2 linked regions of the Caenorhabditis elegans genome follow. The protein of the gene in region 2 purifies or fractionates together with the protein of the main gene of each other region. This does not show direct contact. Each region holds a gene or a part of one and is shown on either strand. Other genes may lie near its edges. The genes, in order: C04F12.8 and mlc-3.

What was found.
Region 1: the proteins of mlc-3 (region 2) and C04F12.8 fractionate together in Caenorhabditis elegans (co-fractionation; one large-scale study listed by BioGRID). This does not show direct contact.

The regions. Positions count from the first base shown.
Region 1 is NC_003279.8:9,692,886-9,709,366, reverse strand, and holds C04F12.8 (Protein-tyrosine-phosphatase), read left to right. Parts: upstream 1-9,800; 5' UTR 9,801-9,811; coding exon 9,812-9,968; intron 9,969-10,145; coding exon 10,146-10,240; intron 10,241-10,345; exon of another isoform or gene 10,346-10,366; intron 10,367-10,856; coding exon 10,857-11,215; intron 11,216-11,565; coding exon 11,566-11,773; 3' UTR 11,774-12,130; downstream 12,131-16,481. Other genes in the region: C04F12.16 (Transposase), read right to left, coding at 4,106-4,248, 4,353-4,407; C04F12.7 (Membrane-associated protein), read left to right, coding at 12,657-12,795, 13,105-13,373, 13,423-13,623; C04F12.12 (Retrovirus-related Pol polyprotein from transposon TNT 1-94), read left to right, coding at 14,332-14,745.
Region 2 is NC_003281.10:5,555,299-5,571,779, reverse strand, and holds mlc-3 (Myosin, essential light chain), read right to left. Parts: upstream 6,756-16,481; 5' UTR 6,649-6,755; coding exon 6,630-6,648; intron 6,460-6,629; coding exon 6,248-6,459; coding exon of another isoform or gene 6,206-6,247; exon of another isoform or gene 5,964-6,205; intron 5,107-5,963; coding exon 4,923-5,106; intron 4,869-4,922; coding exon 4,822-4,868; 3' UTR 4,773-4,821; downstream 1-4,772. Other genes in the region: nspb-12 (Nematode Specific Peptide family, group B), read left to right, coding at 3,031-3,044, 3,220-3,466; rpc-2 (DNA-directed RNA polymerase subunit beta), read right to left, coding at 7,101-7,274, 8,878-9,022, 9,541-10,099, 10,559-10,937, 11,209-11,403, 11,701-11,983, 12,033-12,122, 12,363-13,270 and 1 more; hach-1 (3-hydroxyisobutyryl-CoA hydrolase, mitochondrial), read right to left, coding at 14,790-14,908, 14,959-15,179, 15,378-15,751, 15,804-16,196, 16,273-16,326.

The sequences.
Region 1 (16,481 bases), on a different chromosome or scaffold from region 2:
TAAAAACCAACCTGTGTTAAAAACCTATTTTTATTACTTCAAAAGTAGAATTCTTGGCAAATTTGGGCGATTTTTTCTTATTTATGAAATTACAGTACCTCGTCGCATACAACACGTTCTAAACGGAAAAGTGTGCACTTTTAAGAAGTACAGTAACCCGCTTTCCTCATTTCTTTAACTTTTTCACATTTTTATATCAATTTTTTAAAAATAAATTGAAAAATCTGCGTGAAGGAGAAAACTTTTAAAAAAATTTAAAGCCATTAGTACCGTAATGTATTCTGAGGTCTCTAGATCCTACGCGGAGTCCGAATGTCTCACTCGACATCTCAACTGATTTTGCGTTGTTAATTGCGTGCTGACGTCACAATTTTTCTAGAAGAATATTCCAGCATTTTTCGTAGATCAAACCGCAATGAGACAGCCTGACACCACGTGAGATCCGCTATATTACAGTACTCTCTAAAGACGCCCACTCTTTTGGAAAAACACGATCATGTCGAGAGCAGGTTTAGTAGTTTACGGTAAGCACCAAAAATGTTTCGCATCTGGATGATACATAAGTATGCCTTGTTTAAAATTGAATTCTGCATTACTCGATTCTAAATAATTATTGAATATATCTTCTTCTTCTTCTTCATTCTTCTCTTTTTTCGAACACCAGTAGTTTTGTTGAGTGTTGTCAACTTGTTGTGTATGTATGTGTGCATCTCTTGCTCTCCGTGAGCTGTCCCCAATAATCGGAGCAAAAATGGAAAAAAGGGGATGACGGAGAGAGAAAATGAAGAGAAAGAAAAAAGGAAGACTGCAAAACCACCACTATATGTTTGGTCTATTTTCCCATTCCTACTCTTCAGTTTTTGCTGTCATGTTTTCCAAATGTTTTACCTTGTTTTCCGATTTTTGAGCTTTTCCCCATTTGCCCCTTCCCCAATGACGTATAGAACCCCCCCCCCCCCCCAATTTCGTGAACTTTACTATCGTTTATTTTGCAATCTTCTCTTCTTAAAATAGAATTTGGCTAATATTCTTTTTTTCGTACATTTTGAAATTCTAAAGTTCGCAATGTTACAAATTGAAATCAATAGATTTTTAGTTAACTCACCTAATTTAAAATGAAAATCTATACATTCAAAACCTAGGATTACTGTAGATTTCTTAAAGAAAATTTGATCCACGTTACAACAAAGCCTTTCATTGATTTAGCGAATCTCATATTTCAGAACAATTGGATTTTGAAGTTTGTCAGTTCGACATTTTGTTTCAAACACATTTTTAAATTTTAGTTCACAGTCAAACAGATCTCTCAATCAGTTTTCGCCAAGTCAAATATTATTACTTAAACAGTATAAGAGTTCAAACAAGCGACATTAGACTGAACATTTTGAAACACCTAAAACTTAAAAAAAAGAATTTTTCTCACAAAATATTCAATAATTTGAAAGAAAAATAGTTTTAAATATAAAAACAGTCAGAAGTATACTTTGATAATTGGTAGTTTCCAGGAATGCCGTCTAGGAAAAATATAATTTCAAAATTTTAGAACTAATTCCAATATCCGCCCGCCCTTCTTTTACAAAAAATATTCAGAAAATATAAAAATTTCAGAACATTCTTAAGGAATTTTAAATTATTTTCAGTACCAAGTGCTGTCATTCTCTCTTTAGTGTAATCCGTGGGATTACTCTTGTCTTTTCTCAAAATCATTCTTTTTTCAGCAATAAAAACATACTTTTTTACTTTAAAATGAAATACCTAGAATGACGAGAGATATAAATAGCATATGGAAAACATGATAAACGAAAAGAATTTCTGGAGAATTTGAATAAATGTATGAGAATATGTTGTTGAATATGATAAATGTCTGTGGTTTCAGTAGTATGATAGAAATATTGTAAATTGAATTGAATTATTCAAGAAATAAACTTTTATTTTTCAGAATTAGATTCTCAAATTGATATTTCTACTTCCTGTTCTCCATATTCTATTTGTTCCTTTTGTTATTACTGAAATTATTTCTTCAAGTTCTTCTGCTTGTTAAATAAACACTTGAGTTTTTAGTTTCCTCTCTGAAAATGTCCAACTTTTTTCAGTCATCACTATTCTCTCATATTTTTTCTCATAAGTTGGTCTACTATAGTAGGCATGATTCAATTTTGACTAATTCTCCAAATTGGAAATCTATGAACTCCGCGAAAAAACAAAAACTATGTTTCTAAGAAGTAAAATTTCTTCCCAGAATAAACATGTATCTTTCTGAAATTACATTATACATATATATCCGTTTAAATTTCAATTCAATGTCTCTCTTTTCACTCGATACTTTTATTCCTGAAATTGGAGACGAACGAGAAGATGAATCTTTCAATCATTGATGCACAACAAGAGGAATTAACGTTTGACGTCAGTTTTTCTTTTACTTTTTTTAGGCAATCTAAAAGATGATTGTACGTTGAGAATCAATCACTTTTAAGGAAATTAAGTTCCTAGTTTTTGAGCATTGGTTCTTTCGAAAATGTTTCTTAGTTACTTGAAGTTCCAATGTGACTTTCAAAAATTTTGAACTTTTTTAAAACGAAATTCAAGGAAATTCAATTGGTTTTCCCCTTCTTTAAGATTTTTCCTTTGGGAGATGGGAGATCAACTCATTTTTCAATTTCGCGACTAGCAACATTTTCTGGAGACATTTTTGGCAATTTTTAAAGGAACTACGAAAAAAAAGTGATGCATATAATTTTTAGAAGAAAATGAGACATAATCCAAGCTGAGTTTTAGATTTATAAGATTGGAGTCATGACTCACTGCAGTTGACATTTCAAAACTTGAATGCAACTATCGAAACATGTCTGTGAATTTATGTTTCCAAATGACCTCTTTGTCTTGTTTTTATTGAATAAATTCTCATTCTTGTATCGTCAAGACAATTCATTTTATTGTTAGCAGCTAATATATGTTCGTTTTCACCGTTTCATAAATATGGTTTTACTAGAAACCGGAGAATTGGAGATAAAACATAAAAAACCACCCAGTTTCTTTACTGAGATTTGTATCTTGAAATGAGAGATTGACTGGTATACTCCCTCGAGAAAGCCACGCTGCATGTAAAATAGAAAATATATGTTTAAGATTTGTGGTTTAAATATCACTTTTTTGGTTTCTCGATTTATTTTGAAATAAATCGTATTTTCATATTTTCGAGTTTCTCAGAAAATTGTCATTTTTAAATTAAATTTTGGACTGTCCCTAATTTTTTCTATTTTTTTCAAATTGGAAAATGTTGAGATGTTTTTTCTTTTCGTGTTTTTGCTTTCCAAATTGAACAAATCATTAAATATTATTCAAAACCGCATTCAAAACCGTTTTTTTTATTTCTCCTTTTAAAAAACGCCTAACATTTTTTTTTAATTGTAAATTTTTATACCACTGAACTTTGACAAATCTCCTCACGAATTTATCCATTTATTCATTTCTAATTTTGATCCCCATTTTGTTTTAAAAACGATTAAATCAGTTTCCAAGCATCGCCACGTCATCTCTCGTTTCCCTGCCATTTTCTTTTTTTCATTTTCTCGTACCAATTTCCGGAGATTAGCTGGAAGGAAATAGAAAGAGTAGGACTCCCGTGATTTCTGGCACAAAAACACTTTGGATGAGAAATCAGACGAATTGAGTGAGTGGGGAGTGACGACAGGAAACGAATTAGAAGATGTCTCGGCGATAAATATTCCTCTTTTTTTAGTTTTTTTTTTCGAAAAGATCTCTGTGTACATGTGTACAGATTAGATGTGAGGTTTAGTGACGAGTGCTTAATCTCTCAACTTACCAATCTGGATAAACATTTTTTGGATAGATTCTCATTATTAGGATTTAGAAGAGGATGTTCTGTTGAGATGAGGACCAAGCATCTCAAAGTTTAATCAAAACTACAAAGCATCTCAAAATTGAGTCGCTCAGAAAATGACTGTTCAATCAAAACTACTGAGCATCTCAAAATTGAGTCGCTCAGAAAATGACCATGAAAAAAGAAAATAAATGAAATGGAAAAGAGTTATATTCTCCTCCTCGCCAATTTGTCGTTCCTACTCCGTCCGCACCTATCCATCGTTCACATCCAAAGTTCCAATTGAAATGCCTTTGAAAGTACTGCCATCCAGCCATTTGCTATCGAGCCATCCCATTTGGTCCATCTGCCGTACGTCCGTTCGATTCCGGGTTCGATTTGATTCATCATCTGTCGAAGGTGGAACTCTGTAAAAATAACAAAATTTATCCGAAACAAATGCCGAGGTTCCCTGTCATCAACGGATTTTTAGGGTTATTTTTCGTAGGCGGATTAGAAATTGAAAACTTACCTTTAATCGATGTTGTCTTCTCCAGGTAGTTCGTTGAACATCTTGTTGGCGGCATATTCGAAAACCGAAAATTCGTAGAATAAACATTATGACAAAAACTGCAATGTTATATAGCAGGTCTTATCAAGATGTACCAGTTTTTTAAATGACCTCCCATTAAAGTTCATTAACAAGTTCGTTTAAAAAATGTCAAAAAATTTTTTTTTATTTGTAATTTTTTTAACTGAACTAAATCAAGTTAAATAATTCAAACTGTGATTTTTTACGTGACCGGAAGGTTAGAAAAGAGGGTATTGATTCTCATTTTTAGTTTCAAAAATATGGCTGAAAAAGTGTGTGAATCAGTTTTGAACATTTTGATTGGCAAAAAAATGCCATTGAAAGGGATAAATACATTGACATTCTGTCTCTCTTTTTCTCTTTTCTAACCTGTTTTCCGTCTGTTTTTGCCCTTTTCAATGTTTTCTTGTTTACCGCAATCATTTTCAATTCTCGTCTTCTCAAATGTATTTTCTTTTCGCTTTTTTAGTCCAACTCTTGTCATGGCGGGTTCACGAGACAACATGTGAGATCATCTCTATTTATTTCCTTGCACCGCTCTGACCTTCCTCTCTCCAAGTGTGTTTCAGTTTCACTTGAAGTTTTAAAACCAGATATTTGAATTCATCGAATACCGGATCACATGATTTATAATTTTGGGCTGAAAAACGGTTATCTTTCTGTCAATAACAAGTGAACGGTAAGCGGAGATTCTTATGATTCACCATTTTGCAGCGGAATGAAAAAATCTCATTTAAAGAATAGAATGAAAAATCGGAACAACATATGCCTCTTGTGAATTCAATTTTGTGCTCTTTTAAAAATTTTCGCGTAATAATTTTTCAGCATACGGTCCACTTTTTCTAAATGTATTGTTTTTCTTCAGAATATTTGTGCTGCACCCCAATGCTCCAACTTAGGTTGCTCACACCCCACCTGCAATCAATACCTGATCTTGGAAACTGAAAACTCTTGATTTCTGATTTCTTGAAAGTTTTACCTCTCCTCTCTTAAATCTGCCCAAAAGAAGATCCTCTGCATCATTAATTGATTTCCGTTCCATCTTATATTTTTCGTAATCCATCTTCCATGAGCAATTCTTATCTTGGAGTCAGCTCATCAAGAAAATTTTATTTTTCTCTCCTCTAATCTTGCCAATATTTCCTTTTCGGCTTTCCATCTAATCCAAATTCGGAAATAAAATCCTAATCTCTTGAGCCTAGAGAGCTTTAACGTGGATATGTAATACATGGCTCTCGATTTTGAATTTGCAGGTTTAGAATAATTTTCTTTTTTGTGACAGCTAAAACCCCTTCAATTGTTCATTCAGTTATCATTGGACTAGAAAAAGTTGTGAAAAAGTAAAAATTAAGAGACAAGAAACTTCATTCACTTGTTACCGCTTCGACGCCTTTCTTCATTCTATTTTCATCTTCTCGTCCCGTCTGAATTGTGCTCTCTTTGTTCATTTTGTGAATAAGTAGTGACGACTGCTCACCGACAGCAGGAAGGACATTTTTCAGCGTCTGATCAACAACTTCTTCTCATTCTTCTTGTTCGTGTTTTCTCACCTTCTTTTCCCATATAACTTGTTTTTCATTTTCCTATTGTTATCACTCATATATATTCTCTTATTTTATTTTGTTGCAAGTTTATGGGAGCCTCTATATCTTGCACTTGTTTTTGCATATAACTTTTGAACGAGTATTGCTCAGAACCATTTGATATCATGATAAAAATAATTCCAAAAAAAGGTGGCAAGCAATATCAGCTCTGGAAAAAGTATATCATCTTAATCTGAAAACCTACATCATTTCCGGTTTTCTGTTGTCAAGGGAGGCAGTTGTGTAATGTTAAAGTGATAAATGATAGATATATCACTAACACAATCTTCTAACTTACACAAATCGGAAAAGTTATCAAGAGAGACCTCGATTATTGTGTAACATCTTTATTTCTCATCCTCCTCCCAATTTCAGCTGATTTCTAGATACAATCTTTGAAAGTCTGCGTCTTTTTTGAGCTGATCAACGATCCAGTGTCATTTGAAATCTAAAAACTTCTAAAAAGTGGCCCAGAAATTGTCATTTTCCCACCTCAACCACTCGATTTGTTTGTCTCTCAAAAAAAAGGTCGAACACGAAAATATTTGCTGCTCTTTTCTATTTGGACAACTCTTTCTGTTATTATTGTGATTGCTGATTCTCCTTTGATTTGCTTTTTATTCTTTAGTCGTTAGTTGTTTTTAGTTCTTCGCAGGCGGTTTTTTTTAACTTTCGGTATTTGTGAAAATTAAATGGTTAGAAGAAACCAGAGAGCATAAAAATGTTTGAGCTTTGAAAACAAATTAATCTGGTAGCATTTTTTCAAAAAAACAAAAACTTCCAAAAACCTTGACCAATGTTTGTTTAATCCTATGAATACATTTAAGATCTTTGACAGTTTATTATAAAAAGTCTGCATTGAAAAAAAGTCTACAAGCATCAAAATTTATTTTGAAAAATTCACCAAAAAATTTCACATTGAAATAAAAAAAATGCAAATTTTTAAAATGAAATTTAATTCCATTTAAAAGTGTGGAAAGTGTGCTCGAAATTGGCTGTAGGTTGCAATTGACAAATAAAGACTTTCAACTCAGATCTACCGAGAAATTCTCAATAAAAATAAATTTTATTCTCGAATTACCAAAATATATTTTGTATAAATAAACCTATGTTTATAATTAATTTGAAAATTGGGTTATTATACCGAAACGAGCAGTTTTGTAAATTTGAAGATGACGCACACCCCTGTAAACAAATTGAGAAAGTATGGTCATGCCAAAGTAATAGGTAATCACCTCTTTTTCATATGCAGAGGGTTGTTTAAAATTCTTGGAAATCTTGAATATCATCTTCTTCTATTTTTATCTTCCCATGTCTTTTTGTCTACATTTCTCTCAACCTACACTACTTTTCATCCATTATCACCCTCCCTCAAGCTTTTTCTAGTTGTATCAATTTCGTTTCTTTCTCTAAATCTCTTTATTCTCAACACTATTTCACATTCTGAGCAAGAAGATTACACCTTTGTCCTACGGGTACATGCGTACTCGGGGAGATGATACTTCCTCCACAATTTTGTGCCATCGTCAAAGATCAGTAAGAGTAGTTAAGACTCGTTTGTTTTGAGAAACAAGTTTCATTCTTTAACCATTTTCCCCAAAACAACCACAATTTTCAAACTCTTACCTTCACTTTCACTTTTGATTTGAAAGTTTCTCTAAGACGTTTCTAGAAACATCTTGTTTATGCTTACTGTGGAAATGGTTTCATCAATTGTTTTTATAAAAGAAGTCATTTGTTATTTTGGACGATTTTGGTTTATTTTTCTCAAATTTTACGAACACAGAATTTGAAATTATATGTTTTTGCTAAGTTACTGTGCAGCAGGCTGATGTGATAATTTCGGCAAGTTTTAACCCACTTCCTACTGTGAAAATTTTAAAAAAAGTAAATATAAAAATGGAAATAACTAAATTTTTGGAAAATTATAATTAAATTCCCTCACTTATACAGATCAGAAAATATAAGAAAAACATAAGTCAATGATAAAACTAGAAATAATTTACTAAGAAAGGCAATGCAATTGGGCATTCAAATGGGAATTTCGCCAAAACTGAACATTTATCAATTTCCAACTTGAAATAAAAAATTTCTGCAGATTGATTTCTGGAAGCATTTTGGCACTCGCCGATTTCTGAAATTTTGTAATATTTTCGGAAACTAAAACGTAAAGTTTTTCGCACAATTTTATAACTGTAAACATCTCACAACTTTGAAAATGGTTTCACTCACACCGTCACAAAGCTAACTCTGAAGTTCCATAAGCTTCAGGTGATTTAAAGCGAGAAAACTGAGAACTTCTATATCTAGTCATCTGCATTCTCTCTTGATTCCTCTTCTTCTCACCCTCTGAACTTTTACTTTTTAATCGTATCGTTTTGGCTGAAACGATACCCTCTCACTCCCACAGGAACGCATTGTTCCTCCTTTCGCCACGTCATTCACTTCCAACAAACAAGTCACCTTCTCCTCCCACTAGTTCTTTGTGAGCAAATATTAGGAAAAGTCAAGGAAAGGGAGAAACAAAGGGTCGAGAACCAGGTGATGATCAATGTTTGGGTTGCCAACTACCGTTTGACACACAAATCTTTACTTTCTTTTCCACTTGAATAAGTGATATGGATAGGTTTCTTAGGTACATTCTCTGAAGATAGTCTAGATTCTTCTAGAGAAACTCTTTTGGGGATTACAATTTTTATTCCAAAAATTTTTCAGCTTATTTTTCACAGATTCATAAAATTTTGATAATTTTGGAGGTTTGGTGAACTTGTTGAAATAGTCAAAATTGTTTTGAGCGTTTAAATTTTGAAGTTTTTAGAATTTTTATTTACTTCATTGGGTCAAAAAATGAAATCGTTTCTTAAAATAGAAATTTTCAAAGCTTTCAGATTGTTTTTTTAAAGATTAAATGTTTCCATATTGTGAAAATTTCATGAAAACGACTTGAATATTATATAATATTAACGAACATAGTTTCACATATTAAAATTTCAAATCTCATGTATCATCTCTTTATAGTTAACTTGATTTTTTGAGTCATTACTGGAGAAATGCCCGTTTTCCAATTCCAAACTGATCGAAAAAAGTTCAAGAGAAAAATGACCGCATTTATCAAATGTAATAACAGGGTAAGAATTCAGGAAATGAGTGGGCTCATTTTGTGTCACGAGAACCAGATGCGTTTTTGTTCGGAAAATGATGAGTTACATTTTGAACATTTCGCAAAAGTCCAGCAAGAGCTCAGTTTATTTATTTTTTCTTCCGTTAGAACTCAAATCGGTGTTTTTTATATTCAAAAAACATTCTCTTCCAGTTTCGTCCACAAGAAATTTTGCGATATAAATAAGAAAGCAGGTGTGTCTAAAAAAGACAGATTATCTTTGATTCCTCAGAAACCGCAAAAAAATGTCGAATTACAAAATATTGTTACTGTTTCTAACCCATCTTAATACATAAATCATCAAAAACCATTTCTCGAAACAAGAGACAAAATGTTTTTGCAAATGCCATCTCTCTTTTCCTCCACTAATTTCCTTTTTCATTGCCCAAATTCTTTGCCGCCGGGGGAAACAGTTACTAACTTTTTTTAAAAATTTTTCTCTCTATATCTCTTTACCTTGTGACCGCCATTTACCTTTGAAGTTTGTCGAAAAATCCGGTTTTGTACCAATTTTGCAAATTTTTCCCAAAAATTCATTTTTTCAAAGGAAGTCTAACTACCATGTAATGTATTCTTTTGTCCTTTTAAACTGCCTCTCCTTTTTCTAAAACTCTTATATTTTAGATATATTTAACTTTAAAATGTTTTTCAGAAATATGTCGAGGAATGTTGGTGTTCTCGGACAAATGTCTGAAATTAATGATCATCTGTATCTTTCGGGTGCCGGAGTTTTGAAGCCAGATAAAATTAAACAAAGAAAAATTAATATGATTGTAAATGCAACCACTGAAGAGCCATCCACGTATATGCAAGGTTCGTTCGAATTTTCCTTAAAAAAGAGAAAACACCCCAATCCACCAGCCATTTTTCGATTTTCCACAAAAATACGGAAAAATCAAAAAAAAAAAAAATTTCGGCGATACTCTTGCCCCGGAAAAACTATAAACTACCTTTTTAGAATCAATTTTGATAAACTTATACCTATTTCAGGAGTTGACACAATGAAAATTCGAATTGAAGATCATCCATATGCAAGGCTCAGTGAGCATTTTGATGTTGTTGCTGACAAAATCCGTAATGTTAAGGTATATTTTAGTGTTTAAAATCTTCAACTTCCTAGAGTTTTTGAAATGTTTTCAAAATTATGTTTCATTTAAATGTTTCATAACTTCTGTTCATCGTGTGGACATTACGATTTAAAGAGAAGGAACGAAGACACAAAAGAGAAAAAAAAAGTAAAAACCAGTTGTTTGTACTCTCGACGGCCGTTCTTAACTGAATTTATGAGTGTAGGCGGAATGGACATTTTTACGAGTGAAGAGAAGAAATGGAAAGTGTTACTGACTGGAGTGAACTTTAGAACGGATAAGGGTCATGGCAGAAATGTTATGAGAGTTTTAAAATCTGAAAATATAAGGGAATTACATATTTTGTTAGAAGTTATGGAAGACAATTTGTTCTTTTTTTAAGACTAGGCTTCTATGTAGGCAACAAATGTCTGCACACCTGCCTTCAGGCTTGGCTCAAATCACACAGGGATCCACATGTACTCTAAAAAACGGAGCGAGGTTATAGGCGGCCTCCCGCCGGGCGCCTATAATCTCAGTTCAAATGTATTTAAGACATAAATTTTAAAGTCAGTTCTTTAAAATTTCTTGTTTGTTTTGAAATTGTACAGTTTTTTCAAATCCAATTTTTCAGGAACGAGGCGGAAAAACACTTGTACATTGCATGGCTGGAGTATCAAGATCAGCTTCATTGGTAATGATTTATTTGGTAAAACACGAACATATGACTCTCCGACAAGCATATCACTACGTCAAAGCAGCTCGACCAATTATTCGTCCAAATGTTGGATTCTGGAAACAAATGGTTGATTATGAGAAACGATTGAGAGGAACAGCATCAGTTAAAATGGTTCAGACACCGGAATGTGATATGCCAATTCCAGATGTTTATGCAGATGATATAAGAAGAATGCAGATTAATAGGGAGATCAGTAGGCATTCATTGCCTTCTGCACAGAGCTCCGCGAGCAAGCAGAGAGCTTTTTCAGCAAGGTGAGACAGTTCTCAAACGTTTGCTGCTATTAAATTTTTATAAAATTTCCAAATTTTCGATTTACCGATTTTTAAAAGTTTTTTTGAAGTTTTAGAAAGATCGAGTTTCAAGAAAGTGAACAACTAAAACCTGACTAATTGAAAAATGAAGGTTTGCAAATCGGAAATTCAATAAAGGGATATCGTAACAAATTTCTTCGTTTCTTTAAACGATTTTTCATGAGTTTCGCTAAACTTTTCGGTATTTTTCTCAGTACTAGTACGTTTAAAAATGAAAGAGATATGAGGAATGCTACCGTAAATGTTTCTCGCGGCGAGGGTTCTTACTATAATTAACTTGAATATTCCAGTACATACCGTCCATCCGTATCATCTGCCTCATCCCTTGCCACATCATCACTTCGTCGAGCATACAGTCCATCATCACTTCCGGCTTCAAGTCTTGCTCTTACCACTTCATACAGTCTCTTTTCTCCTGCTCCAACAAGAAAACCACGTCAAAGTCTATTCTCAATGTACTCAACTTCGCCACGTCACAACTTTTTCTCGGCATTTTAACAATAATGTTCTACTGTGTCTCTTGTTTTGTATCATATTTTGACCAAAATTTCAATACTTATCTACTATCAAAAATCAAAAAGCTTTCTTCTAATTTCGATGTAGTTCCGCACTCAAATTTTTATTAAAATTGTATTTTATTTTTTTAATTTGAAATTCTTAACTTTTTTTAAACTTTTCTAAACGCGAAAAAAAGTGGTAACGGGTTGATTTTTCCCCACAAAAACACACAACAATCAACATATTTTCCCATTTTTCCTTTGTCGCTTATTGTCACACACAAATCCAAAGTTTTTCTGTGTATATCATTCCGATAAACATTTTAAAATCTTTTTGGTTGTTGTTCTGAATTTCAGATAAATTATTGAAATTAATAATTAAATTTCTTTCACCTGTTTGGTTTTGGATTTTAATCACGTCTTCAGGAGTAAGGGCCTGTCTACTGCCCACTTTCTGTTTGTAGGTACATAGTGTCAACTAGGCACAGGACGAGGGTCGCCCAGAGGTCGAACAAGCTTATAGAAAGTGCCTTGCATAACTTTTTTCAACGTCAGAGAAAAAATTCAGATCAACTCTGAAAGTGCACATCTGCTGCTGAAAATTCTACCTATTTTAATTGAATTATTTTAAACGACACAGTTTTACATGGAAGTGCAATGTTCAGAAAACTTTTCTCCGTGAAATTGCGTAAAGATTTTGTATTAAATTTAAAATTCTAAACAATTTCACGTCAAATTTTCATGAAAAACGAACTTTCCTACCTCAACGCGATGCCCTACTCTATTTATTTGACACGTCGTAATAAATGCTCAGTTTCTTCACAAATCAATCAGTACTCGATACTAACTAACTTCTCGTCTTCAATCTACTAACCTTCAACAAAATGGGATGCTTATCGTCAATTGAAGCACCACTTTGTGCTGTCATCACTGTCATCTTCCTAGTCAGTGGTCTCTACTCAACTGCATACAAAGTTGCCGGATCAAAAACGGTACTCGATGAGACTGCTCTGGATACTAAAGGTTAGTTTTGCATTTTGTTTCAGATACAGGAAAAGTGCACTGAGCTTGAACTTGATGTAGTTTCAAAGAAGACCTTTGAAACATACAAAAGTTCATGGTCAAATGATCACTTTGAACTATGTCAATCTGAAGTTGTTTCATGTTCTTTTGAAAAAAAAAAAAAAAAAAAAAAAAAAAAAAAAACCTGACAACAAAAAAAAACCTGACAACAAAAAAAACCTGAGAACAACTTCCAAATGACATTGGTTTTATCTGTACATCGAGAATTAATCTCGAACATATCGACCCTAGAAATATAGAATGTTTCAGATATGTTGATGACCGCATTGGCACTCATGTCACTCATTGGACTCTGCTCAACTCGTCGTGCATTTGGTGTCTTCACTCTTCTCTTCATGATGCATGCATTTGTATTCTCAGCTTTCCATCTTGCACATACAATTGCACTCTTCATTAAATCATTCGATTCTCCATGTCAATATCTGAAAACTCCCTCAACTGGAACACTTAATTCGGATATCTGTCATGCTGTTAATGGAGTTACTCTGGTGTGTGCAGTGATTTCAATGATTGCTACTGTAAGTTTCTTAGATTTAATCTAATTAGTTTTATCTGAAAATTGTTCAGGCTCTTGCCAGTATGGCCGTCTTCATTCGTCTCACTACAGTCGTCGTCAAAATTTCGGATAAGAGAGTTATGGCAACAAGTCGTTCATTTGACAACTCAATGCCACAATTAATCAGTAGAAAGTCAATTGAATCGGAGAAAGAAGAAGATTGTTTGGAGACACCAAGAAGAAAAATGGGACAAGCTGATATCTTTGTGTGATTTTAATTGATTTAATAAATATTTCATTAACCCTCCGAGTAGCAAGAATATACATTTTAATAAACGGGATCTCAGCAACAACTTTCTTGATACTCCCTCCTTGACTGCACATAACAGTCGATAAATTGAAAATTATTTTGAAAGTTGCAACCAGCACACCAGCATTTTCAATTGCCCTTTTTCCCAAAACTGAATCTTTAGTTCTTGAAAAAACTAATTTTCTGGATAATCTATTGACTTAGAAACATAACTTTTTAAAGTTTTAAAAGCTTGAGATAAAGTTAATGTACAATTGTGAAATAGTAGTCGACGAATTGAGAAAAGTAGCTTAAAACATTTTCAGACAATTTTTCTCGTAATTTACATTAAATTTCAGTTTGAAAAGTAACTTTGGTTTTTAACGGTGGAGTTATGATGGTGTTGAAATAAAAAAATCGAAAATTGTAATTCTGATATATACGTGATATATTCCAATTTCTTATCAATAAAACTAATCTGGCAAAAAATCCCCCTCCACGAAACGAAATCGAAAATTAAATTATTTCGGTTTTAGTCCAACACTTGGAACACATTTCGATTCGCATCATTCGCAGTGGTTCAGTTTTTATTTAGAACTGGCGGACATCCAGTTTTTTGGATTTCGGATGTCCCCGATGTCGCCCTCGATAGGTAACATGAAGGAATAAGTATTTTTGCAGCTCACTCAAGATGGCATACGTCAAGAGCTTCTACATGGATGCTAGTTTGGAGAGCGACGCCGACGTTCTTCCAGCAACGGAGAGTGACGTGTTCGAGGCACAATTCATTGCCGATGTCCCACTGAACAGCGATGCAATTGCCCGTATCATTGATTCTCAACTCGCGTTTGAGCAAAGCAATCAGGTGGTTTCGGACTATTGCACCGAGAAGCCAGTGGAGCTTGAAAATCCAAATCAGCTGGCAATGAATAACTCAGTTATGGACAATCAGCAATACTTTGCACCGCCAAAAACTGATTCGTCCCACTATGCATGGAACACGAATGACGTTGTCTCTTCTCATCATCAATATGCTGCACAGAGTCCAAACATCTACACCAACGACTATCATACCAGTGAACCATCTGATTATGTCTATATGTGATTTGAAATAAAATGAATTTTTGAAAAGTGAAATTTTTGAAATAAAGTTTTGAAAAGAAATCTGTCTTCCAGTTTGAATAAGAATTTTTAACTTTATTGAATTTTTAAATGTTGTCGTGATTATAATTCTGATGATTGGTAAATATCTTACAAAAGAGATTCGAAGATTATTCAATATGATGGTTGAATAAATAATCAGCTATTCATGCCTTTGAGCATTCTACAAAGACTCTACTTGCGCTCGCATAATACACCCGAAGCAGTTAGAAATATAACGATGAAACCAGACAAAAATGTACAGAAAGTGTTAAATAACCGAAGTTAATTACACAATCTATTAAATGATTTGTTTCAGATTTTTAATTTCTTTTCGGCGTTTCTATGAATTTATTGAGAATTTAGTACTATTATAGGTGTGTTCTGTTATTTTCTTAATTATTTCTCAGAATTTTTTTCCCAAAATAACGGGTAATGTAAGTAATTTAAGTTAAATTGGACAATGGAAATTGGACAATTGGACTCAATAAGTCTTAATGACTTGCACTTCCTATTAGAATTTCTCTCAAAATGACAAATCGAAAAATAGACTTGACTGTAATACTAATAGGGAAAATACGCGAATCATTTAAACAAAAAATATTATTATTACACGTTTCACAAAAAACCTTATCTTTTCAAAAGATCTTTTTGAATATTTTTACCAGTTTTCTTCAAAAAAGAATTTATTCCCAACATTGTCCACTTTTCGATTCGTCGTTCAAGTGTGATAATATTCATTTCCTGATTTGAACACTCAATAAAGAGCTTGTCAACTGCAAGTTTGCGACTATCGACGCTATCAATGGACGTTCAAGATATCATTGGAATTGCTTTGAACTTGGCAACGGCCGGATCTCTTGCAGCAAAAGTATTGCCTGGATGTGGAGGAAAAGTGAGTTTTGAACTGATTAGTGTTCTAGTATTGTACTGAAGCACAAACATGGCACATACCTACAAAGGTTGTGTACGCGATTGTTTTTCTCAACTAAGCAAGTCGCCTTACTTTCAAATATTACAACTTTCAGAAAAAGGGGAAGTCGGTTGAAGGCGAATCAACTTCGAGCAGCAAAGGAAATGGTGCAAAAACTCCAGAAGGAAAGGAAGGATCCGAAGCCAGAACACCATCAGCTGCTGGTTCAGCAGCTCCAACTGCTCCTGCGGAAGGTGCAGCCCCTGCTGCTGGAGCCCCCGCTGCTGTAGCACCAAAACCTCCAATGGCTGGTTAGTTATTTAGAAACAAGATAAACTCTTGCTGGAATTGGCAATGATTGTTTCGAAAAGAAGGATGGAGCACCAGCTGCCGGAGGAGGAGGACCAGCTCCACCAGCGAATGCAAAACCCGGAATGGCAGCAACCCACGACCCGAACTATCAAACATTGGCTGGATTGGATAACAACGTATTTGGAAAGAAGGATGGTGCTGCTCCAGCTGCAGGTGGTGGAGGTCCAGCTGCTCCAGCTGATCAGAATGCAAAAGCAGCTACTCACGATCCGAATTATCAAACACTGGCAGGATTGAATAACAATGTTTTTGATAAGAAGGATGGTGTAGGTGCCCCTGCTGCGGCTCCTGTTGCTGCTGGAGGAGACAAGAAACCAATTCAACCGAATGATAAAAACAAGAAGGCTGCTACGATGGATCCTAATTATCAGACACTGGCTGCAGTTGGAGGAGATGTATTCGGAGCTGATAAGAAA
Region 2 (16,481 bases):
TATCAAAAAAATAATGAAGTGATTCATGGTAAATAAATGAAAGATTGAGCATTCTTTTTTGCTCATTTTTCACAGAAAATGCACGTATTCAGAGGTTCAAGTGAAGACAATGAAAAGAAAAATCACGGTAACCTACAGATGGGGTTCAGAACTAATAGAGAACATATGTTCTTTTTGAGAAAGCAGGCGTAGGTGGTTATGTAGACAACAAAATTGGTTTTTTGTACCTTTCTGGAACATATACAGTCTGTAAAAATTTTGGTCAACAATTACCAATTACCAAAAATTACCAAAAAAATTACAGCAAAACGGACTCAAACTTCTAACGAATGGGCACAATGAGAAACAAAGTTTACAAAATAAATTAGGTCAACTCAAAATTGAGCAAACTTTTGAAATATGTTGCCACAAGCATTGAGCAACTGGAATTTCCAGAAACCAAACAAGATGTTATTGAAAAATTCGAAAAATGAAATATAGACTTTCAATCGGACGAGTGGGATTACTTTTCTCTCTTGTATGTGAAAATGAAAAATTGGTTGGATTAAAATATGGTTACTACGTCCTAAGAAAAGGAAGACGAGCAGGGATTATAGAAGCCCACTGCCTACATGCCAAAAGAATGGGTGTTTATGTCCCATTTTTTTGTGTGACTATTACTTGGCTTGAAATCTCTGTTAGTGACATGTTTTTCCAGCAATGTCCCCTCGTCCTCTTCCCCGTGTCCCATGGGGACTCGCCGAGCACGGCGGTTCGTGAACAGTGAGGAGCAGCAGTGATTGATATCCTACATGATCTTGTCACCTGACAGAAACATTGCTCCTGACCTAGATTATTACAAATATCATGGGAAAAACGATGAAAATGGGGAAGATTGACACGAGAGTAGATGATAGTTAAAAAGGGCAAAGTTGCAAGTTCACTTTTCTGAAATTAGAATTTGTGAGGTTTGCGGAAAAAAAATGAAATTTCAAAACGTTCACAGGATCTTGTTAACTTTATCGATTTCTACGGTTGCGGAAATTTTAGGTTGCCAAAAAATATTGAAATCGCAAGTTGCTGGCGTATTGTCTAAACCTTGCAGCTCGGCAATGCTCGGAAATTTACCAAAGAAAATTGTTTCTTCAGTATAGTTGTTTTAAGTATTGCAGATTGTCGAAAAGTTTCCACACTTCCACTTTTGAAATTTTTGCGATCGGAAATTTTTGAACGTGTCTGGTGCCAAAAATATTTTATGCTTAAATCTTAATGTTGTGGACGGAACGTAAACCTGAACTTTATACAGACGTGACCTTTGGGTCATCATGAACTTATCGCGTAAGCGACCTCTCTTTATAATTCATTACTTCTTACACTCTCTTGTAATAAACTTCTTCTCTCCTTGTCACTCGCTCAATACACAACAGTCGCTCAATACACAACACTTAACTTTTAAGTGAAAGACAACAACCGAACGGTTTTAAAAATATAAATCTTTGATTTTATGTTCTCTGAAAATTTGCTAGCGTTCTTAAACATTTCAATAAATAAAGAAATTTTGTAAATTTTGCCGCTCTGTCAAAATATGAACCTACCCGTTCTGTGAAACCTTCCTGTCAAGTTTTTTGAGCTTTTTGTAACATTAAGCTCACGGAGCAAGTCAATGACCATGATCTGGTCACCTGACTCTAAAAGTTGCAAGCACACTTTGGCGGCAACCAATAATAATATGGGTTGACTTGGTAAGTCAAGACGTGAGATGGAAGGGTTCTGAATTGATATTGACAAATAAAAGTTCTGTGAATGAATCGAATAATTCTTTGGAAATTTTTTTTAGATCGGTTATTGTAATTTTTATGAATATCACTTTGGTACGGCAAAAATATTACCGGAGTATTATTTTTTTTTATTTCAACGTCTTCTAATTTCTAAAACAAGTGTTTTATAATAAAATAAGTGTTTTATATTTTTAATTGGAATCGCAGAAAATGGGAATTTATTTTAATCAAAAATAACTATAATTATTTCTGATTGAGAGGGTAAAATTACCCAACTGAACACAATCATTTCCATAAATAACATTAAATCTTTTGTTTTGGTCTCACAACTGTGGAAGTACTTAAATAGTTCCCACATTAAGCATTGAATGCTATAAATGCTCAAGGCAGCCAACATCCATTCATTTGTTTATAAAATCATGTTCCTTCTTAGAATCCACGGGAATCTCGTTTTTTCTTGTTTTTGGGCAATTGGAAAAGATGAAAATAAACGAAGGGGATTTGTGAAAGAAAGCGTTGCATTTTTTCTCAAAACTTTGATTATGCCAAAAAAAATAATTTTTGAGGAGATGCAATTTCTGAAATTTCTGTAACGTTTTAGAGCAAATTATTTTAATTGACGTACAGAGTCCTAACTTTTATCTTGAAAAATTGGGAGCAAAATTAAACAATTTTAAATTAAAATTTTATTAAAAAATTTTTAAAGGATTCTGAAGATTGGAACATTATTGGTCGCGATATTTGAAAAAAAAACACATTTTTGAAATATTTTCAGGTTCCAGACCAACATTCTAGTTTTTTAGTTTTTGGATTAATAACTTTGAAGAAAAATTCGAATGAAGTAGTTTTTTTTTAATTCAATACTCGTTCACTATGAATTTTCAAAAATTATTGTGTAAACTGTTTCTGGGAGATCGAACTTTTTTAAAAATTTTTTACTTTGGTTTTCAAAGATCTTCCAGTGGTACACCCAAAAATTGGCCCTTTTCTACTTTATGACACCATAAATCATCCAATAACTAGTTTATTACATTATTTGTATATATTAGTAACAAAACGTTTGCGTACTTTTTTTAGAAGTTTCTCCCGCCAAAGACTTCCCGCATGTGTCAACTACTTGAGTAAATATAGAAGCTCTTTGTGCAAGAAGATTTCCATAAAGAAATAATGAAAATAACTGGTTATGTACAAGTTTTTGTAAAGGTTTGGTAGAGTATAAAACGTAGAATATCGGAAAGTTCAATACTGACATTTCAAGTCACTTCAATTCAATATGTTCGCCAAGTGGTAAGTCATCTTTTTTAAGTTAGGCTTAGAAAGGCTAAGGCATAGGCTGAGTCTTAGACTTAGGTTAATGCTCAAGAAGCTTATTTTAGGTTTAGACGTAAGATTGATGTAAACCTTAAGCAGAATACCTAGAAATAGGCTTCAACTAAAATCAGGCCTAAAATTCAAATTCCAGCTTCGTCGCCGTCCTTCTCTGCGCCATGATCGTCGGATCCCATCAACAATACGTTGTCCCATCCTACTCGGCCGCCTATGTTCCATCTGCCTACGCCTACCCATCAGTTTATTCTCCATACGTAGCCGCTGCAGCCTATCCATCAGTCTGGGCTTGGGGATCAAACAAGAATAAGGATGATGCTGCTCCACGTGCATTTGCTCGTCCATCTGCTCTTCTTAACAATCAGAAGCCAACCACCGCTTGAATTGTCGGAAATCGAAATTACGAACGTTTTTATGTAAATCTTGCAAATCAATCGATCTGAAACTGCTTTTTTCAAAAAAATTAATAAAATTGTATCATTGCAAATTAATGGTGTTTGTTTCATTTTTGGAATACCTAACAAAAATTCAATAGCTCTCAGTTTTTGAACTAGAAATGCAATTTTTTGCAAAACTGTTTTCAGCTTCTAAAAGTATTATATTTTCTTTAATTTTCTTGATCAACTAGTTTGAAACTTTGATTTTGAAATTTTTTGTAGGGGGAAGAGTAAATGATGATTTTCAAGTTTGAGTAGGCTTTACTAGTTTTCTACACTAATGGCATTAACTTCTTAGCAACTATTCAGTAAACAAGCAGAACATTCAAAAATAAATAATTTTACTCTTTGATGATAATATTTTTGAAACTCTGGCAGCTTCTATACGAAAAAGTTGGCAAAATTTGATATTTAAGCTATTTTTAGCCCTTCTTCTTAAAATTTTTAACCGTCATAAAAAATTTTGGACAGAATTCCAAGAGTTTCATTTCATTACAAAAATCAATATTTTGGGTCTTTAGTATATTTAAGTGGACAGTTTCGCTACTCTAACTTCAATTTGAAAGCTTTTAAGGTGAAATTGTTTCTTTTCACCAATTTTTAGGATTGAGTGATATTTTTTGAAAAACTATATTTAGGTGGTGATACAATAAAAAATAGTTGTCAGCTAACAATATATACGAAAAATTGTTTAAATAATTTGGCAATTTCTTATTTTTTGGAAGCTACCGTTCTTGCACAGTAGACGGAAAATAAATCAATTGATAAAAATCAAACTGGCAGTTTGTTTTTATCAGGTCATCGACTCAAAAGCTGATATTTCTAGCAGCCTTTCAACTTACTACATGTACTATACCAAAATTTCCATTTCATAATTATTCAAAAGGTTTTTTATTATAATCCAAAAAGGAGAACGAATATAAGAAACGAATGAATTTCTGAATAAAAAAGTGTAAAATGAAGAAAGAAAGAAAATTTCTTGATCATAGAAACAGGCTTGAATGTGTTGGAGAAAAAGAAGAGAAAACCGCGCGCTGATTTTTAAAGTGCAAAACGTTTTCTGGATCAGAAAACGGAATGCGCGCACGCGAGTGGAATCTCTTACGTGTATAGCGTAGAAGAAAACGAGCGACTAGACGATGGGTTTATAGACAAAAAAGTAAAACATCGTTATTTGGAACGGGGAGAAAGAAGGCAGAGAAGGGAAAGGGGAGCAAAAAATTTGGGTAAGAGAAGATGGTGTTTTTTTTTTCAAAATTTAAACATTATAATGGGTGTAGCACAGATTCAGATCCAAAAATTTAGTCCTGGTCTGGGAATGGTCCGGCCAAAACCTTCTTGATGAAATCTGAAATAAATTTCAATTAAAAAAAATTTCCGAGAAGAAAAAAAATCGGCTTACCCTCGTACTTGACCATGCCTTCTCCGTCTTCGACTCCCTTGAGGAGCTCATCGGCCTCATCGGCGGAAAGTCTCTCACCGAGAGCCAAGAGGATGTGTCTGAGCTCAGCGGCCAAGATCTTTCCAGTCTCCTCCTTGTCGAACACCTTGAGTCCCTCGTAGAAGTCAGCGTAGGTTCCTTGCTCCTGAAGAAATTGGAAATTTATATTGGAAAGAACAATTTTCTCAGTTTATAATCTCAATGTTAAATGAATGATGATCTGCTCTACATGCGGACCCTAAGGTAGGCATCTAACTCCAGTAAACATAAATCATTCCCTATTCAGGTGACAGTAACCTCGAACATCAGCTAATTCCATCCCGAAGCTCCAGAGAACTCTCTGATTTTCGCTTAGGATTCTATCCAAAATTCGTTAGACACTGACTTTCAGATTGTCAAATTTGAGTAGATATGTGCTCAGGTAAACTTCGCAGACTATTTAATAACGAAAGCGAAATGTGTTTCCCAAAATATCTGGCCAAACTTGCTATTTCAAACTTTATGAGTTGTCCAGTCTTCTGAGCTCAGTTCGTAGGTTTCTATTGGCTCTTCAAGATCTCCATGTGCTGTTTTGAATCTTTTCTAAGAAACTGGTTGCCTTAAAGCTTTCAAAATACTGACGGTTGTGGGTCCAGAGAATGCCCTAGTTGAATTCAATCAAAGATCTACAGGATTTTTTACCTTAAACCTCCACTAAATAGTCTGAGCTGGCAGCTCTTTCCAAAACTCAATAGCTCCTAGAAGCTTCATATATACTCACTCCATTCTTTTACCCGTATATGGGGATCCTTACTCAAGATCCCTTGCCTATTCCTTACTACTTCCTATCCATACAAATATCTACAACAAGGACCCAGTAGACGCAGAATGATGATGCTCTCTATTGTTACACTGTGCCTATGTGTGTGTTTGTGTGTGCCAAGAGAGATTCTCGAGAGTCCTATGTGCTCCTCTCCCACACATGCTTCACGGGAGCCGCCGCCGCCTATCTCTCTAAAGTTCTAGGGATCGGCTGGCATGTGCCGGTGGAAGAGGATGTTCAGATTTTTCAGACCCTTAGTTGTGATTTAAAAGTTTTCGGCTAGGGGTACTGTATGGGGTTAACCTCTGAGATCCAATATTTACTTAGACCTTGAAATAAAACAAATCTCAAGCTTCATCTTCTTTGTTTGATTATCACTCGGTGCGGGAGTTAAAGGTTTGGCGCGAGGCCCCTAGATCCCTAAATCTCAAAAAACTCTCAGCTAAAGGTTAAAGGCACAGGCAAGATGTTTAAAATACCGTACCTTCTCCTTGGCGAGTTGCTCGTACATCGGGAGCCACTCCTCGAATGTAAGTCTCTTCTCTCCCTTACGCTTGAACTCCTGTCCGGCGGCCTTTGTCACCATAGCCTGAGTTGGCTTAAGTCCGGCGGCGCGGGCGACATCTCCGACTTGGGTTCCGTCGATCTTGCCGTCAAGCTCCTCATCGTAGAGGTTGAAGATCTCCTTGAGCACGTCTAGAACGATTTCAAGTTTGAAAAAATGTTTGGGATTGTAGGGATATATTTGGGGAATTGGATATATTTTTGAAACATTAAAAAAAAACTAAAAATAAAATGTTTTAGAAGTCCTAAAACCTTATAAGGTATCCCTAAGAGCTGGGGACATTGCTTAAAAAATTACTCACCTTGGGATGGTGGAGCCATTATGTGATGATGTGTGAGTGTTGCAGCGGCGGCAGAGCAGGGGGGACTGAGTGTGGAAACTGAGTGAAGGCGACAGAGCAGTGGCAACCCAAGTGTAAACTGTGTGTGACTCTTCGTAGAGGATGGGGGCGGATTGGGGCGGATATTGAGCTCCCGCACTCCCGCGCGAGTACACTATTTCACCCCTCGGGAGCCCGAGAGATAGAGAGAGGGATGTAATGCTCAAGAGATAGAGTGGCGAGATGTGGGATGTGAGAGCGAGAAAGCGCGGCGTACTGTTTCAACAAGTATTTTCTAGAAAATTTTCATGATAAGTTTAAGAATGAATGTATGACAAAAAAAACAACAAAAAATGTTCAAATTTCGGGGAACAAGTAAAAAATAGATTAAAAAATGATTTGGGAAGGGGAAAGAAGAAGCATAACAACAACAACAACAATTACAAAACAAGGTTATTCGGTGTATCTGGCCAAGTCCAGCCTCGGGACAATGTTCATGGATTGAAGTTCCTGGAAGAGCAGCTTACACGCATACGGAATCTTAATGTTCGCCATTGACTTGCTCGAACGACACTTTTGGCACCAACCCTTCGAGCCGATTACTCCGCATCCAGTGCACACGTCGACCTGGAAAACAAGAAATTTATTAAGTTACATTGGAAATCTATTATACTCTCATCGAATCGTTTTTTTATACAAACTGAGTTTTAAGGAGTACCAAATTATCCTATAAAATATTTAAGCATGCGTCTTTTAACTTTTTTATGTTAAAAATCCATACTTGTGTTTTTTAATATCGACACATTATTATAAGGCTCAACAAGTATCCATTACTTTTGCATTAAAACGCTTGCCTGCCTGACCTTAAGGCAACCTCCGCCTGCCTCTCGCCTCAGTCCGCGAATTCTGCTAAACCATTTTGTTTCTCTGTTTACGGAATAGGTCTACAGTACCCCAATGCTCGAAATGTTAATTTATTTTATTTCCTCCCTCTTCAATAATTAATAAGATCTTTGTGTTTTAACACATCTTCACAAGTTCATTTTTCCCGTGTTGGCTGCCGAACTCGATTAATTCGTTGTAAACGTATGTTTCTCTATTCTCCCTTTCAATATCTTTATTTTCTTTCTCTATCCTCCCCGCGTGCCACTTCAATCGCACATTTTCTCGGCATTCCACTCCTAGGAGCACAGCCGACGGGAAGAAAAAGCACAGGCACCCACTGTGGAGATATCTCTTCCTTCTTATTCCTCCTTCTTCTGTTCTCTCTTCTGCCAATGCTTTTACTCAATGACGAGAGATGCGGAGATCAGTGGAGTCCACAGACTTCGGGGTGGAAGATATAGTGAAATGGCAATCAAGGAGAGATCAGCGAGACATCTCTCCACGAAGATCACACTATTCACCAGGCATCTCGCATCGGGGCAAAAATCTCATCTTTTCTTCTTCTTCTTCGATGACTATTTTGTGGGCAAAAAAAAACGAAAAGTAGGAAGGAAGAAGCGAATCAAGACGAGAGCTCCGAAGGTTTCCTGGAGGGATCTTAATGTGAGGTTCACTTCCAAGTCTTTAGATCTCTGATTCTTGTTTGCCACCTGGGACAGGTGCAGAAAATATTATTTTCGGTACGACTGTACTAAGAAAAGGCGGTTTTAGTAAAAAATGTTCTCAAAAACTCCGAAATATCGCTGAATTGTGAGAGATTTTTTTTATTTGGGAATGGATCTTGCTCGAATAGCACCGAAAATTTGATTTTTTTTAACTTCCGAGCAACAGAGATTCAGAGCCATTAAAATAGAAAGTTTTGCTTTTTTTAAAAAGTTTTTAGGGAAAATGCTTTTTTTAAAATCGATTTCTCTGTTCTTATAAAAAAGTGGGAGTTCAAAAAAAAATTAATAATCGGTTTCCGACCTTTTTTTTCGATATTTTCAGATAAAAGTCGGGAAATGTATTCTCTCATGATCAAACAAAATCCATAATTTTCTCTGCGGTAAATCAAAAATTTTCAAGAACCTTTCCAAAAAACGTCAACCCAGTTTCCAAGAAAAGTCGACCCGCAAAGTCAACCCACGCAAGGCTTCTCCCAGTCTCTCCCGCAACAGTTTCGCTCCTCATTTTCGCAAAAAAGAACCACTTGAGAGTGTTACGGCTAGTGTAATGATGAGCAAAAATTGCGCGCACACACACAAAAGTAGCAAACTTTTAAAAAAAACTCGGTAAGGGAATTTACCTTAAACTCATCTGATGACACCATCAAACGCTCAATAAGCAGCATCGATGCTCCATAGGCAATGAGACAATCACGTTCCATTTCTCCAAGACGTAGACCTCCTTCTCGTGATCTTCCTTCTGTTGGCTGGCGAGTCAATGCGGCTCTGAAAATTTATAGATTTTTAAAAGAAACTCTGAGAATAAATTGAAAAAAATTTTTAAAAAAAGTTTTTTTTTTAATTTAAAAAATGTGAGAAAAATTAAAATGGTTTTTTTTGTTCCAAAATATGCATAACATTTCCGCGAATTGGATTTGAAAAAAATGTATTTCCACTATGAAAAATTGATTCTTTTTTCCCCTAATTTCCTAAGCTTCGAGCATTTTGTCAATTCCTTTTTCAGAACTTTTTCAATTTGGCTTTTTTCGAAATTTTAACCATGATAAAAATAAGTGAATTTTGATTGATACCAAATTTTCTAATTAAAAAAATGTTGCAATTCCTCATTGTTTTACATCAAAAGTTTTAAAGGAAAGTTGGAAAATGCAGAGTTAACTGTTCTAAAAATTTTTCTTTTTCAGATTTTGTTGCTAAACTTAATTTTTAAATATTTAATTGAAAATTCTTTCCAAAATTCAGAATTTCCAGACAAGACATTATCTAAATTCAAAATCTCTCCACACCTCGGTCCTCTGGCACGGGCGTGCATCTTATCCAAAACCATATGCTTGAGCTTCTGATAATAGATTGGTCCAAAGTAGATATAAGCAGATAATGGTTGTCCAGTAATTCCACTTGTCAGCATATCTTTTCCCATATAATTATAACCACAAGCAGCCAATTCTTCACAGACATCTTTAACCTGATCTCCACCAAATGCTGTTCCATAATGATATGTTCCATTCACTACTCCAGCTTTTCCAGATAACAATTCCATTAATTTTCCGACAGTCATTCGAGATGGATATCCATGAGGATTCATAATCATATCTGGCACCATTCCAAGATCATTAAATGGCATATCTTCCTGTTGAGCAATCAATCCGCATACTCCTTTTTGTCCGTGTCGAGATGAGAATTTATCTCCAAGTTCTGGCCGACGGGTTTGTCGAAGAAGAACTTTGAATAAATGAGCTTCATCTTCATTATAGGTAAGAAGAACTCGTTCCGCATATGATGGAGTTGGAGTTTTATACGTGATCGAGACGTCTTTGTAGTCAACTTGGCGTCCAGCGATTCCGACTGAAAATTTAAAGAATTGTTAGTGAACGTTTTTTTTTTTACTTTTTCAGAGTTTTATATTTAAATTTTCGTTTTAAATTAAATTAATTGAATATTTGAACGGAATAAATGTCAAGTTTTATTTAATTGTGAACGTAAAAAAGTTAGAAAATTTATATTCGCAAAAAAGAACGGAGACAGTTTCTTTGAGTTTTTTTTTAAAACATTTGTTTAATTGGTAAAAATTAAAAAATGCTATAAATACTTCAGATTTTTTGGAAAAAGTTTTAAAACAGGGTTTCTGTTGAAAACTCGCTTTCATTTTTACGAGGTTGGTCTGGGAATTGTTTATTATTCTTTTTTTTTTATATTTTTCGTGTTTTTTTTCGTAAAACTTTTAAAAAAATAGATGTCTTCTCGAAACTGTACATTCCGTTTTTATTTTCCTTATACAAATTCGTCATGCTCATTTCAACATACTTGTATTGGCAGAAGCCGACGCTCCAGGACCACTTTCTCCACTGACAACTGGCATGTGCTTATTGATAATCGTCTGTTTCGGCATAATACGTGCTCCGGCGAATACAATACCCTCTTGATCGAGATTTTTGTGCTTGAAAATTGGTTTTCTCGTGTTCGGATCCAATGCTGGTCCTAGAAGACGATCGAATGTCTGATTCGGATATTTTTTGGCGGTTCCCTTCACATGTTTGTAGACCAGACAACGACCATAACCACGATCCAGTGAAGCTTTATTGAGCACAAGAGCATCTTCGATATCGTAACCACTGTATGACATCACTGCGATGATTCCATTCGCGCCGGCCGGCAGTTTTTCAAAGTTTGTCAGTTCGATTGTCTGGAAAATTGTGATGTAAAAAGTTTGAACAATTGATAATTTTCTAAAAGAAAAACAAATTAAAAATTTCTGAATAGAATAATTGATTAGAAAGATATAGCGGATACTTCCGATTTGATTTTTTTATTTTTCGGAATTCAGGAAATTGATTTATTTTTATTTTCAGGATTATTAACGATATCTCTCCACAAACATTAGTTCAATAAATGAAACATGCATTTTTTAATCAAATTTTTTTCATAAATTTTAAAATATTTCAATTTTAACGAACCTTTGACTTAACGAGTGGTCTCTGTGGATAACATAAAAGATACATAATTGAATCAATTCTTTTCTGTTGATTATAGGCAATTGTTCCCATTGCTTGTTTACCCATAGCACATTGATAAGTATTACGTGGAGATTGATTATGATGTGGATATGGAATAAGACCAGCACACACTCCAAGAAGAGTAAATGGCTCAATCTGGAAATTTTGAAAGATTATTAATAGCTCAGACACTGAAAAGTGCAAATTTTATTTTAAACTAAGGATAAAAATCTTTAAATGTTGGAATTTCCTTGAATTATAGAATTTTAGAGCTCTAAATAATTTGATTTTCAATTTTTTATATTTAAAAAAATGAGAATTTAAACTTTTTTCACATAGTTTTAAGTTTCAGACAAATTTTACCAAATTTTTTGAATTTTCTTTACAGGAAAGAACAACCAGTTTTCGATTTAATTTTTTTCATTTTTAGATTCACAAAGTTCAAAAACGTACCTCCAAATGTGTAGTTTCTGGGCCAATTTCTCTCCCATAAACGGCAATCAACGCATCGTTCATCTCATTTACATCCAAATATTCGACAATTCCGTCATCAACAAAATCCTCAAAAATCATTTTTCCCTCTTTCAGTTCCTGCACGTGAGCCTGTGTGAGCATTGGAGTTCCGTTTTTGACAATAATATATGGTCGACACAGGCGGCCACCGTCTGATGAAATGAAAACAGAACGATTGGTTAGAGAACGGGATACTGAAACAAATTCTGACAGGAGTCCACTTCTGAAATTGAAATTCGATGAATTTTTTGGCAACATTTTTTTGTTGAAACCTTCTCAAATCTCTGACGGCTTTCACCACTCTTTCTGGATCCACAGCTGTTCCAATGAGCACTCCGTTTAAGAAGATCAACGTGTTTTCACTGAAAATTTTCGATAAAAATAACCTTTTTTTTAGGAAAAAACACAAAAAAATGGATCTAGTAATTTTCAAAAATTGTCAAACCTTAACTCGATTTGAAATCTAATTTTTATGAAATTGATAATTTATTTTAGAAATTTATAAAAATTGATTAAAATATGCGATTTTTTCAAAACTAGCATTCTCAAAACTTTTATTTTTCAAGATTTCACACTTAAAATTTTAATTTGTAAAAACTCACGGCTTATTGACATGCGAGAAATGCACATTATGTAAATCCTCGACTCCCGAATTGAGTAACAATCTGAGAACGGGTTTCTCATCGGAATCAGTTGTAATGTGACTAATCAAAGCGAGATTCTTCACAAGACCACAAGCTTCACCTTCAGGAGTATCACTCGGACAAAGCATTCCCCATTGAGATGGTTGAAGGGATCGAGGACCAGAGACTTTTCGAGTTTTCTCAAAAGTCGAGTTGATTCTTGTCATCATACCAAGTGCTGAGATATATGACAATCTACTTAGTACTTGTGTAACACCAAGTCGTTCCATTCGGAATCTTTTGATAATCCAATTTCCTGTCGACATAGCATTCACTATAGTATTCGTAATCATATCTTGTCTCATATGCTTCACAATATCCAATGGTGCAGCCATTGTCTTCATCAACGCATTGTCTGCAATTCTTTTCAGTTCAGAGTTGAATCTTTTGAATACATCCTCAAACAGCAACGAAAGCAATGATCCAGCGAGCTCCAAACGTTTATTTCCGTAGAAATCCCGATCATCAAGCCCATTTTCTCCGAGTTCCGTTTGAATCAGTCGTCTTGTCATTAATCCCAAATAAATCGCCTTCATTTTGAAATTTCCATCTGGGCAAGCAATATGTGTGATCATTGAATTGGACAGAAAATCGACTGCTTCGTGTTCTTTCGGTGGAGTCAAGACGCTCACTGAAGTTCCTGGAAGTGATCCGAATGGTGTGAATTTACGAGCCTTGACTTTTGAGGTAACATATGCGAGTGCCTGCTGTTGGGTATAAACTCCGGCATTTATGGATTCTTCGAGAGTTTGAGCAAATGCTGAAACGTACTTCTCCTCGTGACCGATTGTACTCACAATGTCAAAATCTGATTCGACTCCCATCGCCTGGAAAATTGAAACTTTGAAAAGGAAGCGGTTTTTAGTTTTTGTTTTAACATAATGCTACACTTTTTTTAAAATTTTCCCTATTTTTTGTAATAATTTTCTTGAATTAAAAAAAGCGAACTCGAATTTTGGAAAAAAAAATCTGAAAAACTCCAGATTCGATAATAAATGTTTTTGAGGAATTTCGATTGAAAATATCGTAAAATGTTCAGTTTCTCACAATCAGAAAGAAAGAAAGCTTCATTATTTTTTATTCTAAAACATTTTTTGAGAATATTTTTTGCATCAAAATTTGGAAAAATATTTTTCGGAGAATGTTTTTGTATTGGATGTTTTTTTTTTTAAATAAAATATTTAGGAATGAATGCCGAACATTTTTTTTTTCAGTTGTCATCAAAATTCTCAAAATTTACCTTGAAAATGATGGAAACTGGTACATCATCGGTGAGCTGATTGTGGCGAACAGAATATTTACCCTTCTTCATAGTCACATATGTCTTACTTTTCCTCTCGGACGTCGACGAAAGTACTTCACACTGCAGTTCTTTACTTGAATTTCTTCCAACCATAATACGATTTTTGGAGAGTTGTTCTTGAATCAGGATAACCTTTTCACTTCCTTTGACCACAAAATAACCTCCTGGATCATATGGGCATTCTTGAACTCTTGCAAGCTCTTCTTCGGCAAGATCTCTGAGAATACATTTACTCGAACGAAGCATAATCGGCATTCGACCAATGATCAGATCCTTCTTGAATACTCTTTGATTACCACGTGTGTACTCAATATCCACTGAAATTGGCGCCGAGTAGGTCATATCTCGTAGTCGACATTCTTGAGGGGTAATCTTATCGTGAGTCATGTTGAGACCCTCCTCACTGCTGGGTTTTCCGATTCGAATATCCAAATATTTGAGATAAAAGTTTGGATTTGCATCGGAAGTGATCTTCTGATTGGAGAGCATGATACTTCGGATCTCCTCCTGCACGAAATGATCGAAACTGACGAGATGCTGTTTGACGAGTCCTCGAACTTTCAAAAACGCGGGAACGAGAAGCCATTTGTCCTCGAGTGGCATGCATTTCTGATCCTTGCCGCACTCGGATTTTATGCGAGCGCGGCCGTTCACTTGGCCAATTGTCATCTGAAAATTGGTATTGAAAATCTGAAATTCTAGAATAAAAATTATTTGAAAAAGAGGTACAAAAACAGAAAATAACAGTTTGCAATAGAAATCTGGAAATAAAATTCAAAAACAAAAAAAAACTTTATATTCATACGGCGAATAGCTGAAAAAGGCACGGAAATTATTTGTACACCCGGAAAAATTAAATTATAGCTAGACATTTTTCTAAAAATAAATACATAAGGGGTTCCTATTAAAATGGTAAAAATTATGGGGGAAAATCAACATTTTGGGTGAAAAGATAGGAAAACGAGGAAATCCGATAAAAATTATGGGTTTCCCTGATTTTTTAGCTTTCCATTAAAAATTCAATTTTCCGCTAATTCTGGCCTCTACAATTTTAAATCAGAATTATTTGGCAATGGCGAGAAATAGTTATCGACGACAGAATCCTTCACATCAGCCAACGTCGCTGGATTCCACTTTGGCTTGCGATCCTTGTCAACGAGAACTGAAAAATGAGTCAAATTTTCAATGAAACCCTACAAAATCTCTGCTCACTGGCTCGGCACCCTTCATGGAAATCCTTATCGGCGAGGAATCGTTGAGTGAGACGATACTCCATTGTGAAGATCTTTGCATAGCTCATCTTGCTTCCTTCGGTGATTTGTCGGTGAGTTACTTTCAGGGAAGTTGGGCTCATTTTTCCTAGAGTGGCTGCTTGCTTCTTTGCCCAGTCGGATCCGTCTTTTTCGAGGCTTGCGAGGATTTCTTCGACGCTTCTGAAAAATCAATTATTTTATATATCTTAGGCAAATGTAATTTTTTGTGTGCTATCGAATCCTCAAAACTGGCCCTTTCCTAGTTTTTGCTTAAAACTAATATTATCTGAGAAACAATAATAAATCAATTCGATGAAATGCTACTTTTTAATTTGTTCCAACTCAAATACACGTGATCTTGGTGACAAAATATCTTACTTTGCTTTGAAGGAATCTCTAATTTGAGCCAAATTCTTGGACAGACTGAATTCTGGAATCTTCTTTGGCTCGAACGATCTGATGACTTCATCGACAGAGTTCTCTGTCACATCCTTAATATTCACAAGTTCCTTTTCCAATTTCGCAAGTTCCGAAGACTCCACAAAATGAGTGGCAAGACCAGCATGGAAAGCGTCAGCACCTAGAAGACGATATCCAGTGAGTGCCAAGTACATTCCGAGGTTTCCCTTGAGCCTTGAAAGGAAATAGGATCCACCGACGTCTGGGAAGAGTCCAAGTGCGGTTTCTGGCATTGCTAGCATTGTTTTCTCAGTGGCAACTCGGAAACGTCCATTTACAGAAAGACCACAACCCTGAAACAAGTTTTTTAAAAAATTGAAAAGAAAATAGTTGCAGATAACTTACTCCTCCCATCACAATTCCATCAATCAGACAAACGTATTGCTTATTCAAAGTTCCAATTAAATGATTTAAAATGTACTCCTCGCGGAAGAAATCCTTGTGCATTGTGCACTCTTTTCCACTCTCCGAATCTTTGAAAGATCGCACAACGGCAAGAACATCTCCTCCAGCACAGAACGCCTTATCACCGGATCCTTTCAAAATGACAAGATCCACATCGGAAGATGAATTCCAGGCTTGAAGTTTGGGATAAAACTCTCGTACCATTTCGAGGTTCAACGCGTTTAGCGCTTTAGGCCTATTCAATGTAACCACCTTCTTCGATCCGTGTGTGTCGACAAGGATTTCCGACTTGGCGGCGGCGCTCACGGAGAACGACATCTTCTGGCAGACTTCCTGGAAATTTCTGAGTTTAGAACAGAAAATTTGATAGAAAAATAAAATGTTAGTCAAAATTTGTGAAAAATGAAACCTTCGAATGAAGTCCGCGGAAGAGTGCGGGCAAGTTTCGGACAGTGGCAGCCATGTCTCTGAAAATTGGCTTAATAAAATGAAGAATAGTTTACGAAAACGAGAAAAGTGGTCTTGTTCCGCGAGGTTATAAAGGGAAAACATCACTGATCACAAAAAGAAGCTTGCACTTTGAGCACAAAACAAGAAAATAGGGAAATTTGAGGAATA